Danio rerio: one gene and its partners. The protein of the gene in region 3 purifies or fractionates together with the protein of the main gene of each other region. This does not show direct contact. Links are inferred from orthologs where the notes say so. Each region holds a gene or a part of one and is shown on either strand. Other genes may lie near its edges.

Region 1 (4,082 bases), on a different chromosome or scaffold from region 3:
AGATAATTAATATGCAAACAAAGCGAACTCCCTATTTATTTAGTATTTAGGACATTTAAGAAGATGTAAATATTTATTAAAACATAATAAAATGGCACAGCACAACCTTGGTCAATGCCGTTGGGTAGATAAGTTATTTATTACAAGTAAAATGTTAAGATAATTAATAAGCAAACAACGCAAACCCACTATTGATTTGTTTGTTTGTTTGTTTGTTTGTGTGTTTATCTAGAATTTAAGAAATTTAAGAGCATGTAAATATTTATTAAAACATAATAAATAGTACAGCACAGCCTTAGTCAACTCTGTTGGGTAGATAAGTAATTTATAACAAGTAAAATATTAAGATAATTAATAAGCTAACTGTAAACCCACTATTTATTTGTTTGTTTGTTTGTTTGTTTGTTTAGTATTTAATAAATGTAATACAGTGTAAATATTTAATAAAACATAATAAATAGCATAGCACAACCTTAGTCAATGCCGTTGAGTAGATAAATTATAACAAGTAAAATATTAAGATAATTAATAAGCAAACAACGTAACCCCACTATTTATTTGTTGTTTGTTTGTTTGTTTATTCATTCATTAATTTTTGGCTTAGTCCCTTTATTAATCTGGGATCGCCACAACAGAATTAACCGCCTTATTTATTTGTTTATTTAGTATTTAACAAATTTAATCCAGTGTAAATATTTATTAAAACATAATAAATAGCATAGCAAAACCTTAGTCAATAAGCAAACTACGTAAATTCACTATTTATTTGTTTGTTTGTTTATTTATTTCTTTAGTATTTAAGAAAGTTATACAGTGTAAATATTTAATAAAACATAAAAATAGCAAAGCACAACCTTAGTCAACGCTGTTGATAAGTAATTTATAACACGTAAAATATTTTGATAATTAATAAGCAAACAACGCAAACCCACTATTGATTTGTTTGTTTGCTTATCTAGTATTAAAGAAATTTAAAAGCATGTAAATATTTATTAAAACACAATAAATAGTACAGCACAACCTTAGTCAACTCCGTTGGGTAGATAGGTAATTTATAACAAGTAAAATATTAAGAAAAATAATAAACAAACGACGCACACTCAGTATTTATTAAGTATTAAAGAAACTTAAGGAAACTCAGACGTTTATTAAAACATATTACATAACATAGCACAACTGTCAACGCCGTGAGTTTAGTTGACTTTTATTTTGTAGCTTTTGCAGGCTTTTATTTTGAATTGTCGCTTGCATTAGCAGTTTCCTGAACGAGGCACAACGTGGTTTTAGGAGAAGCCATACGACAGTAGGTTCAAAACGTTTAGCTTTATTTATTTGACCACTGTTAGATTTCAATATGACAGAAGGCAAATCATCAGACAAGCCGGCGAAAAGACTGCTGGCTCTGAATCCGAAAGAGGACGCAGAATTTCAGAAGAAAGTGCAGCAAGTGAAGAAGCGTCCTCAAACGGTATGATGCGTGGCCATGTGGCCTTAGTTTAGCCTGACAGTGCTTCAGATTCACATTTAAAACGTGGTTGGAACAAAATGTTTCTTTTAATCACTAATATGCTGTAGCTAGAGTTAAGTTCGGTAAGATGAGTCTTGTTTACACTTGACGGTGCTAATGTAATGTTACTATTTGGTTTACGGTGCACATGTTACATTCAATATTTTGTTTTGCATTGAATGCGCTTCATAATTTGTTTTGGTCCTCTTTCAGGGTCAAACACTTAGTCCAGGAGTGCTGTATGTTGGTCATCTTCCTCGAGGACTGTTTGAGCCTCAGTTGAAATCTTACTTTGAGCAGTTTGGCAAAGTCTTACGATTGAGAGTTTCCAGGAGTAAAAAGGTATGACGTGCATTTGATTTATTACCTTAGTTTATAATGACATGACGTTAAATATAAAGTAAATTGCTCAATACAAATGGTCAAGACGTTCTAACGCGGACTTTCTGAATCTAATACATGTTAAAATGTTAAAATCTTGCTTTATTTATTAGATAAATTGTTTTATTTTGTGTTTGCCAGTACTAGTATATCTAAACATTTTTTAAAGGGATAGTTCACCAAAAAATTCTGCATCAATTACTCTTTCACTACTTTCTCCTCTGTTGAACACAAAAGGAAACAATTTGAAGAATGTTGGGAACTTAGCATGGAATCCCATAGTATGTTGTTCCTGCTATAGATGGAGGTAAAGTTGGTTTTGTATTAGAATATTCAGACATTCTCCTTAATATAATTTTAGAAAAGTATTCTTTGCAAATTTTAAATAGGAAAATCATATTAGCAGCAAATGACTAACAAAGTACAGCATTGTTCACAGCGAATTAGATAGTGTTGATGTTGTTTTGAAATCAAACATGCTAGTTCAGACTCGATATTCAACATAGCGTGGTAAACAATATAGAGACTGCTAAATGAACAAATGTGCAAATATAAAACCAACTTTTCCTCCATCTACTATAGATGCCAGTGGTGGCTGGGTTTTCAACAATCTGTAAAATGTCTTTTGATAAAGTCTTATGATTGAGTTTGCAGGAGTAAGGTTTTAAGCATTTTGTTACATTGGTTTGCAATGACCTGATGTTAAATATGAAGAAAGGTGGAAGAAGTGTGAGGTAAATGACAGAATTTAGATTAAACTTTTCATTTACGTAGGGTTTATTGGCAGATATTTCGTTTAATAATAAATTAAATAACATTTGGCCAATTTCACAGGGAATTAAGCTTTCTTTACTTTTGTTTTACAAATAAAATCAGCAAAAGCCCTGTAATTTCCAAACAAACCAATAAGAATTCTACAAGGAATCCTATAAAGAAACGCATAAGATCCTCTTGGATAAATACGTTTAATCCAATGAGGCCCAATTTGATTCTAAGAGGATTTTTAGAGAAATCTTATTTGATTCCCAGCGGGTTGCTTTCAGATAATCATCGGCTGCATCTGAATTGTATACTCTAACCATTTCTCATTAACTTTATAGTAGAGAAGTGTGCTTTTTTCTTTATGTAGCTGTAAACATTCTATCAGGATCTTGTGTTTTTTTTTTCTTTCTTTTTTTTCTCGTTTTTAATTTCTCTATATAACAACATGTTTAAAAGGCACAATCTGAAAATTACCTTTGGCATTTTGTTGCGATGGGTAAGATTATTGTGCCAACATTAATTCGGTACATTTAGCTTATTGCCAACTTCATGTAGTTGTGCAATGAAACCCATGTGCCTACATTAATATCACAATAGTCATATTGGGTGATAATGCTTTGCTGGAGGTTTTACCTCATAAATGATTGAACTGTCATCTTTCACAGACTGGTGGGAGCAAAGGCTATGGATTTGTGGAGTTTGAGTGTGATGAAGTGGCTAAGATTGTGGCTGAAACCATGAACAACTACCTTATGGGAGAACGCATTATAAAATGTGAGATGAGAGCATACAAGATTATTAATCATTATTTTTTTTGTCTGTGTGTGATGTTTTTTTATGAGTAATGCTGTGTATTGTACTTTTCAGGTCACGTTATTCCACCTGAGAAGGTTCATGAAAAGCTCTTTGTCGGCTCTATTGCTGGCTTCAAGAAGCCAAAGTATCCTGCAGTGACTCGGTATAACAAAACACACACAGAAGATGATGTGAAGAAAGTTGGCACAAAGCTTTTAAGCAAAGAGTCTAAGCTGCGCAAGAGACTGGCAGCAAAAGGCATTGACTATGATTTCCCAGGATTTGTAAGTACTACAGTCAGAGTATGTTTTAGTTGGGACTTTTAAGATGTTATCATTAATTTGATCATGTTTTTTTGTTTGCAGGCAGCACAGATTCCAGCTAAAAAGGCTCCATCAGAAGCAAATGTTTCAGTGTGCAGTGAGGTTAGTCTAATCATTTTAATTCAGCTTAATTTTTTTACCACTTCTGTATCTTGGCATATACTGAAAATTATTTCAGTTGTAACCATCAACTGGAGTAAGATAACTGTGCCGACAGAAAATGGTACATTTTAAGCTTATTGTCTGTCACTTTGACACGCAATGAAACCCATGTGCCAACAGTTACTGTAGTGTACTCTATTTTTTTTTATTTT
Region 2 (3,090 bases), on a different chromosome or scaffold from region 3:
GGGCGAAGCCAAAACAACAGATTTCCGCGCCAAAGTGTCTTCCCGGGGAAACTCGAGCAGCGGATATGACGTTCTCACCAGCCGACCAATCTGAACAAGTTGATTCGAACTGTTGTAGACAGACTTTATTCAGTGTATTTTTTAGCACATTCATTTTTTTATATCGGAGACTTGAGTTTTTTGTTATTTTACAATTAAAGATCATTTTGTTTGCGTAACTGAACAGTAATGCAAATACTACTACTACTACTACTACTACTACTACTACTACTACTACTAATAATAATAATAATAATAATAATAATTATAATAATAATAATAATAACAAGTTTGTTTTTGTTTGCATACTGTATGCAGAGGCAATTTCCAGATTTTTTCTGTTAGAATTTTCAAGAATAACATTGGCATCAGTTCAGAAATCATATTATCAGTTCAGTATCACTTGTTCAGTAATAATATAATCCAAACAGATCCAAAAAATCAGTTTTAAAATCATACCAAAAACACAATTTAAGTATTATTAAGGATAATTAATTATTTTTAGATATTTGTAGTGGTCGATGATAAAACAAATACAACCGTGCGTGTGTATAACTGCAACAAAATAAATAAATCAATATTTCTACCACAACTATGGGTTTCACTTATAGGTTTTACTGGCATTTAGAAACCAATCATTTGTCCCAGGTTACACATCCACAGAACCGATATATATCTAAATAAATTTAATATTTTATCAAAACGAACCATTTGCTCCGTATGCTTAACCCACCGGTTCGGTTCGGCTATAAGATTCACGCATCCACAAACTGAATCACTGAGTCAGGTTCGTTTGAATCATGTCTTCGAGCACTTCAGGTAACTTCTGGCATGTGGCCACTTTATTGATTCTGATCACAAAAATGTCGACTCTGGTGGGACTCGAACCCACAACCTTTGAATGACCCCATTCAACAATCTAGAAGTCCAATGCGCTATCCATTGCGCCACAGAGCCGATGGGACGTCCTGTCGGTTTATCGCTACTCCTGCATTCGACCGAACAACTTTCGTCCGAAGTAAGTTAGTTAGTATCATAAACATATACACTTAGGATAAACGTTTTACTAGCTAAAACATGTTTAAAGATTGTTATATTTCTTTAACTCATTTGAAATGTTTATTTTATTTTTTAAGTTAGTTTTTAGTTCTTTTATTTTGAAATACCAGACTTCCGCTTTTAGCGGCACATGTGGGAACCCACGTTGTCTGTCAGTAGAACCAAAATGGCTTCGTGCAGTATTGAAGACGTGCTCGCTAAAGCTGAAAGAGACGAGGCTGAGAAGCTCAAAAGTATTACGGTGCTCAAAGAGTTGGATCTTGAATTCGACCCGGGACTTTTGCTGGCGTTTGACAAGAACCGACTTGACACACGGGACTTTAAAGGCAACAAACGGGAGGACTGTCTTCGCTCTTTAGCGCGAGACAACACACAACTTCTCATCAACGAGATATGGAAACTACCCACAGAGAGAGTCGACGAAGTGATCGTCGCCAAGCTGCCAGAACCGACCACTAAACTACCCAGAGAAAAACCAGCACCGAAACCTAAGCCTCCTACTAAATGGGAACAGTTTGCCAAGCTGAAAGGCATTCAGAAGAAAAAGAAGACCAACTTGGTCTGGGATGAAGTTCACAAGGAGTGGAAGAGGAGATGGGGGTATAAACGTGCCAAAGATGACACCAAAGAGTGGTTGATTGAGGTCCCGGCGACTGCAGATCCAAACGAAGACCAGTTCGCCAAAAGGAATAAAGCCAAAAAGGAAAGAGTGGCCAGAAACGAGTACAACAGACTCAAAAACATCGCCAGAGCTCAGAAGGTCAAGGTTCCTGGAACAGGACTCCTGCCTACATCCCAGCAGACCAAAGCGGAGCTGGCACAAGCGGTCAGTCTGGCCAAAATATCCACCGCATCGGTTGGCAAATTCCAGGAGAAGCTGCCCAAGGAAAAACCAGCCAGAAACACTGGGAAGAAGAGGAAATTCCAGCCTCTTATTGGGGACTTCAGTAGCGAGAAGCAAAAACAGCTGGATTTATTGAAGGTGATGGACAGTAAGAAGCCCCGTCTCGATATCACTAAAGCTGTGAATAAGCAGATGAGGGAAGAGGACTCGGAGTCTGCTCGGAATAATAAGAAAGGGTTTGGAAAGAAGGGACGCAAGGGAGGCATGCCTGGTAAAGGAAAAGGCAAAGGAAAACCTGGAGGAAAGGGAAAAGCTCCTAAAGGCAAAGGGCGCAAACCTCAGATGAAGCAAGGAAAGCGCTAACATTTAAAGCAGTGTGGTGGACTTATGATGTTTATTGTAGAATATAATAAATATTGCACACGACTCAACTTCTCTTAAGTCATGACTTTGAGTGCCTTGCGGCTGGAGTTTGATTCAGTACAGGAATCGGGTTTGTTTATGTGTTTAGGCTTTATCTACATATGTCATGGATTAAGATCATTGAACCGTTTTCATAAATGTCATCTAATATTGACTCCTGTTATTCATTCGTAATTGTGTTTTCACATTAAATTAAAATTCTTTCTGATTTGCCATCAGTTCCTGGTTGGATATTGTGAATAATGAGGTTATATTTCATCCCCAAAGTTATTTAAAAATGAGTATAAATGTGTCAAAGCCTGCTGTTAATGGGTAACATTTGTACTTAAATAGTATGTTCTTATAATGTAATATAAAATATCATCAAATGTGTATTTTAGAATTATAAAGCTAAAATATCACCTTAAAAAATTGAAGCTAAGATTCAATTAATAAAGTATTTGAGCAATTTTAATGAAAAGAATATGATTAGATTTATCTTATACCATCAAATAGAGGAGACATCCCATTTCAGTGTCTACCTAAGTTCACAAATGTGATTTTTAATTACAGCAATCAAATTAAATCTAATTAAATTGTTTAGTGATTTAAATAACTTTTGTGAAATTAAAAATATGAGTTAAAAACGCTGTATTGTCATTTAGTGTTATGTGAAAATGAAACCTACTGTTATTCTGATCTGTGATGTGACAAATATGTATAAAATAATAACTTAAAGCTTTCCC
Region 3 (3,572 bases):
TAGGGGTATATTCACCACATAATAGGCAACCGGTTAGAGAATAATTCAATCAAAATTGAAGCTAGCTTAGCCTAGCTGCCTCATGTTCCAACCATTCAACAGCTTAGCTCATGCTCCGCAGGAGAGGTGAAGCTTAAAAATAATCTAATAATAACTAATTAAACCTTGATTTCTCTGTATTTAGCCAAAAAGCCTGATAGATTAATTGTTGTGTAATGAAATATAGCGTTACTGACGAGGAAACGCGCATGGACAGTGCTTTTACATAGTTCATTCACAGAAAGAGCAGCCAGAAAGGGGAAACTGATGGATTTGTGCCGAATATTAGCATCATTGACCCATAAAAATCTACAGTAGGATAAATGACTGAAAAACAGGCTGCGGGTGATGTATATTGATCGCAGGTGCTCAGTTTGTGATCATATCTGGCTTTTGTTCTGTTGATTTGAAGCTTGAAATAGATGGAAATATGAAGTTCAGTAAAGTTAGCAACAGATTCGTATTTTCTGGATCAATAACTCATGTCATCTTGACCTATTCACTATTAATATGACGAAGTTACTAATGTTATGGCGAAGGCTTAAACGGAGCATTACTCACAATATCGAGCGGGGGGAAAAAAAAAGGAATAAGACAGCTGGGGAACATGACCTCTTAGGGTGAGAGGTGTGTGAGTTATTGCTGTCAGTCTATCACTGAATGTGCGAGGAATATCAAAAACAAAACCAATTTAGCTCTGCTCCTTTAGCGCCCTTTACACGGCTTGATCCACGCTGGCATTTCTCCTCTTGGGTTTTCGGTTTTGAAAAGGGAAAAAATCCCACCATCCCGTCCAAACTTTAAGGAGACCGGGTATCAGATTTGCACAATCCTTATGCACTCGCTCGAAAGCTTGACAGAGCCCCAGCGCGTAGCTACAGTTGCTAAGCCACGATTGGTGGGTGGCGGTTTTTGGGTGTGGCTTAGCTTAGGGTCAATTGGCCCTATTTGAAATTCAATAACAAAAATATCAGTATTCACACTGGTGTATAAGGGGAAAAATATTATAGGCTATTACAATTTACTACTTGTATGTTATTTGTTATGCTCTATTAAATAGTGTGAGGATTGCTGTAAGGCGAATCAGTGAGTCTTTTTTTTGTGGAGAACGGATTACAAATGTTTTTGGTCAGCTAGGGCTGTGGTCCTCAACCTGTTTATCACCGCAGAGCGGTCAACGCTTGACAATTTTACCGTAGGTTGCTAGGCGACCATTACCCGTTTTCTCAGAGGATGATAAGCTGAAAAAACGTTGCTGTCGCTCTGATACAAGTTTTATTTCTGGAGAAAAGTAGAAAGCACTGTAGTGTTGGTGTGTTCTGTGTTTGTCTGGGAAAATGTGATTATTCCGAAATGTGAATATTCCATACAAGTTGAAGCTAATCAATCAATTCTTGTTACGTGACTCGCGGTGCGCTCACGGCCCGGGGTTCATTGGTGCGGAGTGTCACACCGCTTGTGCGCACCTCCATTGGAAACAACAAACTTGTGCAGACTCTAGAACAGGTGTGGGCAAACTTGATCCTGGAGGGCCGGTGTCCTGCATAGTTTAGCTCCAACCCTATTCAAACAAACCTCCATATAGAGTTCAAGTGATCTTGAAGACATTGATTAGTTTGTTCAGGTGTGTTTGAATAGTGTTGGAACAAAACTCTGGAGGGACACCGGCCCTCGAGGATCAAGTTTGCCCATCCCTGCCCTAGAAATACGCGATATGTGAATGGCCCCTAAAAGGCCGCTGTCATTTGTGATCTCCATCAGTTGATCTTCTTGCACAACCATGCTGGATTCACTTGATTTGTTGACAAATGGGTTGCGAATTTATTCCTTGGCAGTTCCTTCACTTGGCTTTTTCCCCTTGGCAAATAAACTTTCCAAAGACGTCTGTTTCTTACTCATTTTGCTGCTTTTGGGTTAAATTTGGGTGCTGAAGTTTCCGAGACGTAAGCCAGAGAATACAGTAATTTTTTTTAAAATAAAGGCTTTTCAAATAAAAGATCGTTCAGACTCGGATAATAAATTAAACAAAAATAATTCATAATTTTTTGTGCGACTCTGTACCAATTAATCCAACGACCAGTGGTTGAGGACTACTGAGCTTGGTGATAAAATGAACTAAGGCAACATGATCATTCTTCGAATTGTCCACTGCCAAGAAATTTTTTAAATATGACGCGACCCCCCCCCAAAGCTCGCTGAGGCCCCCTTGTGGGCCGGGACCACCCTGTTGGGAACCGCTGCTCTAAAGCATGAAACTGGTGGAAATGCGTCAAAATAAAGACTTAAATATAATAGCGACAGGCTAACGAAATTTATGCTACAACAGTAATGCATTACCAAAAATATAATGACTGTTCTGTTCAAATATTCAACATGAACTGTACACGGCCTTTAGCAGTGGCAGAATACTTAGGAATTAAGCCTGGTTTATACTTCTGCTTTAAGTGTCCGGCGTAACCCACGGCGCATGCAACGCGCGTAGCTGTGCATTTATACTTCTGCGCGCTGTCTCTGTTGGTCTGCATTAACACTTCCGAAGCGCTAGCTGGCAGTGATGTGTAAATGTTCCTCTGTGTCGAGTTTCTTCGCTGCTGTTTTGTTTTCCTGAACACTTCCTGAATGTACAAGTGGCTCAAACTCGCTCATTCTGAGGCAGGAACCGGCGGACGTGCAGCAACTTTAACTATGAGGTAAACACAAAACTTTCCATCCGGAGCTCCAACACGGGACTCCACACTTGTAAACAATCGCTCCATCAGGCTTGCGGCATTCGTGCGGCTCTCGGTCCCGCCCAGACTCGTCAGCGCTACCAAGCCGACCAATCGCAGCGCTTGCGCTACACGTCATTGCAATGTGTAGTTACATTCTTTGAGAGGTGCACGTCAGCGACGGCCACGGCGTAGGACTATGCGTCAACGCAGTAGCATACGCATGCGTTTGACGCAGAAGTATAAATCAGCCTTAAGAAAATTAGCATGCTCTCTTAGCATTTGATCTGAACGCTGCACTATTGTGTTGTTTTTCTATCCTCAGATAAGCGCGCTCGTGTTCTGGATGCTGAAGGTTTGGCTCTCGGTGCTCAGATCGCCACGTCCAAAAAAAGAGAGCGAGACCTGATTGACGGCTCCTTCCACAGGTCAGATGGGCCTGTTAGCATGTTAGCCGCCAGCTAATGCTGGTGAGCTTCAGAGAAATAACGTTTATGTTTCTACTGTAGGTTTGCCAACTCTGAGGACATGACCGAGGTTCCGGCCTGGTTTGTGGACGATGAGAAGAAGCACCGAAAACGGCCGGTTCCTGTGACCAAAGACATGGTGGAGGAATACAAGCAGAAGTGGAAAGAAATCAACGCTCGGCCAATCAGACGCGTGGCGGAGGCTAAAGCCCGCAAGAAGAGACGGGTCAGAAAATACACAAAAATACACTACATATACAGCACACTCTAAAAATACATTGTTATGCGTGTATTCAGTTGAAGTCAGAGTTTCTAGCTCTTTTATTTTCCCCAATTTCTGTTTAATGGAGAGAAGATT
Region 4 (3,002 bases), on a different chromosome or scaffold from region 3:
CTGCCCTTTTTCACAGCACCATACTACAGAATTTCGCAAGCTCAAACTCCAGTATGACAGCAGCATTACTTTACTGCCATTCAAATGGCCCAATAGGCTTATGACATAGTATTGTTCATTGCAGGAGTAATTAAAAATCTATGTGGAAGTAATACCTTATCCAATAAAACTTGTCGCAAACTCCACTTCTGGAGGGCTGCAGCTCTGCAGTTTTGGTCCAACCCTAATCAAACACAGCTGATCCAACTAATCTAGAGACTTTTAAGCAGGTGTGAGTTGGAGGTGGCTAAAGCTAAACCGCGCAGAGCTATGGTCCTCCAGGAATTGAGTTTGAGACAATCAAGTGATGATCTATTTTTGTAAAACTATCTTAACTAGCATCCATGGTGAATACCCAGCAAGACATCCATTGACAGACAAACAGCTCTGCTTGTTAATCGTAATAATCTAAACTTATTTTAAAGCCTCAACAACTACAGGTAGATTTAAATCACTTCACAAACTTTCTGATAAATTTTTTAGTCTTAAAATTTTTTTTAATTGAACTTAAACCCATGCAGAGATTTGAAACAGGAGATGCTAAATTTCTAAATGGTTTCTGCGTTTTGCTTTACATAAGAACACACCTTTCCTTAATTAGCTTTAATTTCTAACAAATTTTTAGCCCAGTTTAAACTAGACACTCTTGAGTTCCACTGATTATGGCTTTGTTCAAATAACTAGTACAAAATGCGTTACTTGGCAAGCACCATTAAATAAATTAAATAACTTTAGCATAGATTAGTTAAATGCTAGAAACAAAAACTAATCAGTACAGTACAAAACAGAAGAGGTAGTTCTTGTTAAACACAGACTGGACACTCCATCCCTGCAATCATATGTGCAGGTGAATGATAATTACCCTTCTACAATACCACTTAATCAACTGGGTGCCAAACTACTCTGATCTAATGCGTTTTACCCACAGGCCTGCTCAATGGCTTCATTTACCCTTCAGGCACAACCTTAAATTATCTCCTTGCATGTAATCACTGCAGTGTGATTAAAATAAACGCTTTGCCTACACATGCACTACATTTCAACAGATTTAACAGCTTTGGGAGGAACAAGCAGCGATAATTATGGCGTTTTGGGCCATCTTTTGTGGAGACAGAAGGATTCCATACAAAGCACAGAGAAAGTATCACAGTTCAGAGGGTATGAGCTCAGGGCTTCGCCGCACACAATACGATATGCGGGTTACTATGGTTACGTGGGCATCTGGCCAAAAGGGTAGGAAGAAAGATAGCATATAGCTGAAGTTCATCCACAGAGCGTTTTAGCCATTTGAACCTGAAGAAAACTTTTTGCACACTGACAAATGTTCTGCAGCAGGAGCCAAATGATGTGAAAAGAGAAGTCAAAAGGTTTTGCTGAACAGCACTCATGATGCACTCGGTCTGAAAGAAAAATTTCACTTCTACCTCAATAGTTTGTGATCCGACTTCTGAGGTGATGTCCTCAAAGGCAGAAAATAAGAGTCAGATTAAAAAGGCAGAAAACTATTTCAGTCTCTCAGAGGAAGCCAATAAACTATATATTTTTTACTTTTTTTTTTTTAATAAGTGTGATGAAAAAAACTGGCATATCACATTCTTTGCAGCATTTCTGTTAAATGTTTCTTTGTTTACGAAATAAAAGCAGACAATGACATTTACATTTATGACATTTATATCACAAGAAGGTTGAAGTAACCTTCTTGGTGAATCAGTAAGGTTGACAGTCTTGAAAAGCAGTATAAATACACAAATTCACTGTGTAAGTTACTAAAGAATGATCTTTGAGTCCCCAACAGCAAGCTGGGACTGGTTTAACTTACTGTCTTGGGTCAAACCACTGACAGATCCCAGTCCTGAGCATATAGGTCCATGTCAATTTACTGTCAGATGACTAAAGTTCACTGGCCACTTTCTTGCTGTCCAAGCATACTTTTTAACTTCTTAAATTTGTTTTTCCCGATTCTGTTCTTCTTTTTCTTCAGCAGGTTCTTCTTTTTGGTTTTGTTTTCTTTCTTCTTGAATGGACTGCCCTCTTTCTTCTCCTTTATCCCCTCTGTTGTTGGATTGCCATTCATTTGCTTTCCCTTCTGTTTTTTGCTAGGTTTCTCAAACTTTTTTGCAGCTTCACTATCCAGCTTGGCAATTTTGGCTTTTTTGGGGCCAGTTTTTTTATTCTCAGCTTTCTTTTTAACGATGAGTGGCTTGGATGTTTGAGGATTCAATTTCTGTTTCTTTTCAAAGCTGCTTTTTTCTGGAGTTGAAGCAGGCTTCTGTTCTTTCATCTCTGATAAAGCTGCAGTCTCCATTACAAGTGATTCTTCTTGATTTTCTAAGGAATATGTTTGAAAAATTGAAGTAAAATACAATACAAATTTGTGGATAAAATCTTTTGAAATAAGCACACACCTGTTTCTTTTGGAGCAGTAGGGATGGTGTTAGACAGCTTCTTTAGCTTGGCCACAAAAAACCCATCCATGTTGTGAGAGTGGGGGTAGAATCGTCGAGACAGTTTAAGAGAAGGATGGAAACGTTTCTCTTTGAATCTACAGAGAAGAGATCAAGATTTTCAAAATGCACTTTATAATTTCTCTGGCAAACACACTTGAACTTAATTTCTAGGACTATAACCTTTATTACTGTTGATGAATTTCAAATAAGATCTCATTACCTGGTAAATCCCTCTTTGCCAAAGTCCAATCCAGTGGGGACAAGCTTAACATTTCTCTTCTTCAGAGCATAATCTACCACCCACTCATTCTCTTCCACCTATAGAGACAAATCAAATCTCATACCAAATGGACAGAAAATTGGCATATTTCAGCAGACATACTTTAGCTTTTAAAATATAGATTAATACATTTTACATCTACCTGTTTCACTTTTCCTCTAAAATGTTGCAATATCTGCTTTAGTCCACAATCAGACAGAAACTTAAAAGGCTTTCACCATCAACTCAGATTTAGT

Evidence for each region.
Region 1: the proteins of ftsj3 (region 3) and nifk fractionate together in Homo sapiens (co-fractionation; 3 studies listed by BioGRID, with this or other methods). This does not show direct contact. The link is inferred for Danio rerio from reciprocal best matches to the Homo sapiens genes FTSJ3 and NIFK.
Region 2: the proteins of ftsj3 (region 3) and rrs1 purify together in Homo sapiens (affinity purification with mass spectrometry; 3 studies listed by BioGRID and IntAct, counting the BioPlex papers as one, with this or other methods). This does not show direct contact. The link is inferred for Danio rerio from reciprocal best matches to the Homo sapiens genes FTSJ3 and RRS1.
Region 4: the proteins of ftsj3 (region 3) and nop2 fractionate together in Homo sapiens (co-fractionation; 3 studies listed by BioGRID and IntAct, with this or other methods). This does not show direct contact. The link is inferred for Danio rerio from reciprocal best matches to the Homo sapiens genes FTSJ3 and NOP2.

Annotation. Positions count from the first base shown.
Region 1 is NC_133184.1:39,870,108-39,874,189, forward strand, and holds the start of nifk (MKI67 FHA domain-interacting nucleolar phosphoprotein), read left to right. Parts: upstream 1-1,247; 5' UTR 1,248-1,354; coding exon 1,355-1,468; intron 1,469-1,720; coding exon 1,721-1,849; intron 1,850-3,108; exon of another isoform or gene 3,109-3,235; intron 3,236-3,315; coding exon 3,316-3,424; intron 3,425-3,517; coding exon 3,518-3,729; intron 3,730-3,810; coding exon 3,811-3,870; intron 3,871-3,925; exon of another isoform or gene 3,926-4,052; intron 4,053-4,082.
Region 2 is NC_133199.1:27,758,330-27,761,419, reverse strand, and holds rrs1 (ribosome biogenesis regulatory protein homolog), read left to right. Parts: upstream 1-1,255; 5' UTR 1,256-1,264; coding exon 1,265-2,305; 3' UTR 2,306-2,583; downstream 2,584-3,090. UniProt on the Homo sapiens protein: Involved in ribosomal large subunit assembly. May regulate the localization of the 5S RNP/5S ribonucleoprotein particle to the nucleolus.
Region 3 is NC_133197.1:3,328,833-3,332,404, forward strand, and holds part of ftsj3 (pre-rRNA 2'-O-ribose RNA methyltransferase FTSJ3), read left to right. Parts: intron 1-3,072; coding exon 3,073-3,175; intron 3,176-3,256; coding exon 3,257-3,440; intron 3,441-3,572.
Region 4 is NC_133191.1:17,311,449-17,314,450, forward strand, and holds the end of nop2 (28S rRNA (cytosine(4447)-C(5))-methyltransferase), read right to left. Parts: intron 2,805-3,002; coding exon 2,707-2,804; intron 2,582-2,706; coding exon 2,445-2,581; intron 2,368-2,444; coding exon 1,937-2,367; 3' UTR 515-1,936; downstream 1-514. UniProt on the Homo sapiens protein: S-adenosyl-L-methionine-dependent methyltransferase that specifically methylates the C(5) position of cytosine 4447 in 28S rRNA. Required for efficient rRNA processing and 60S ribosomal subunit biogenesis.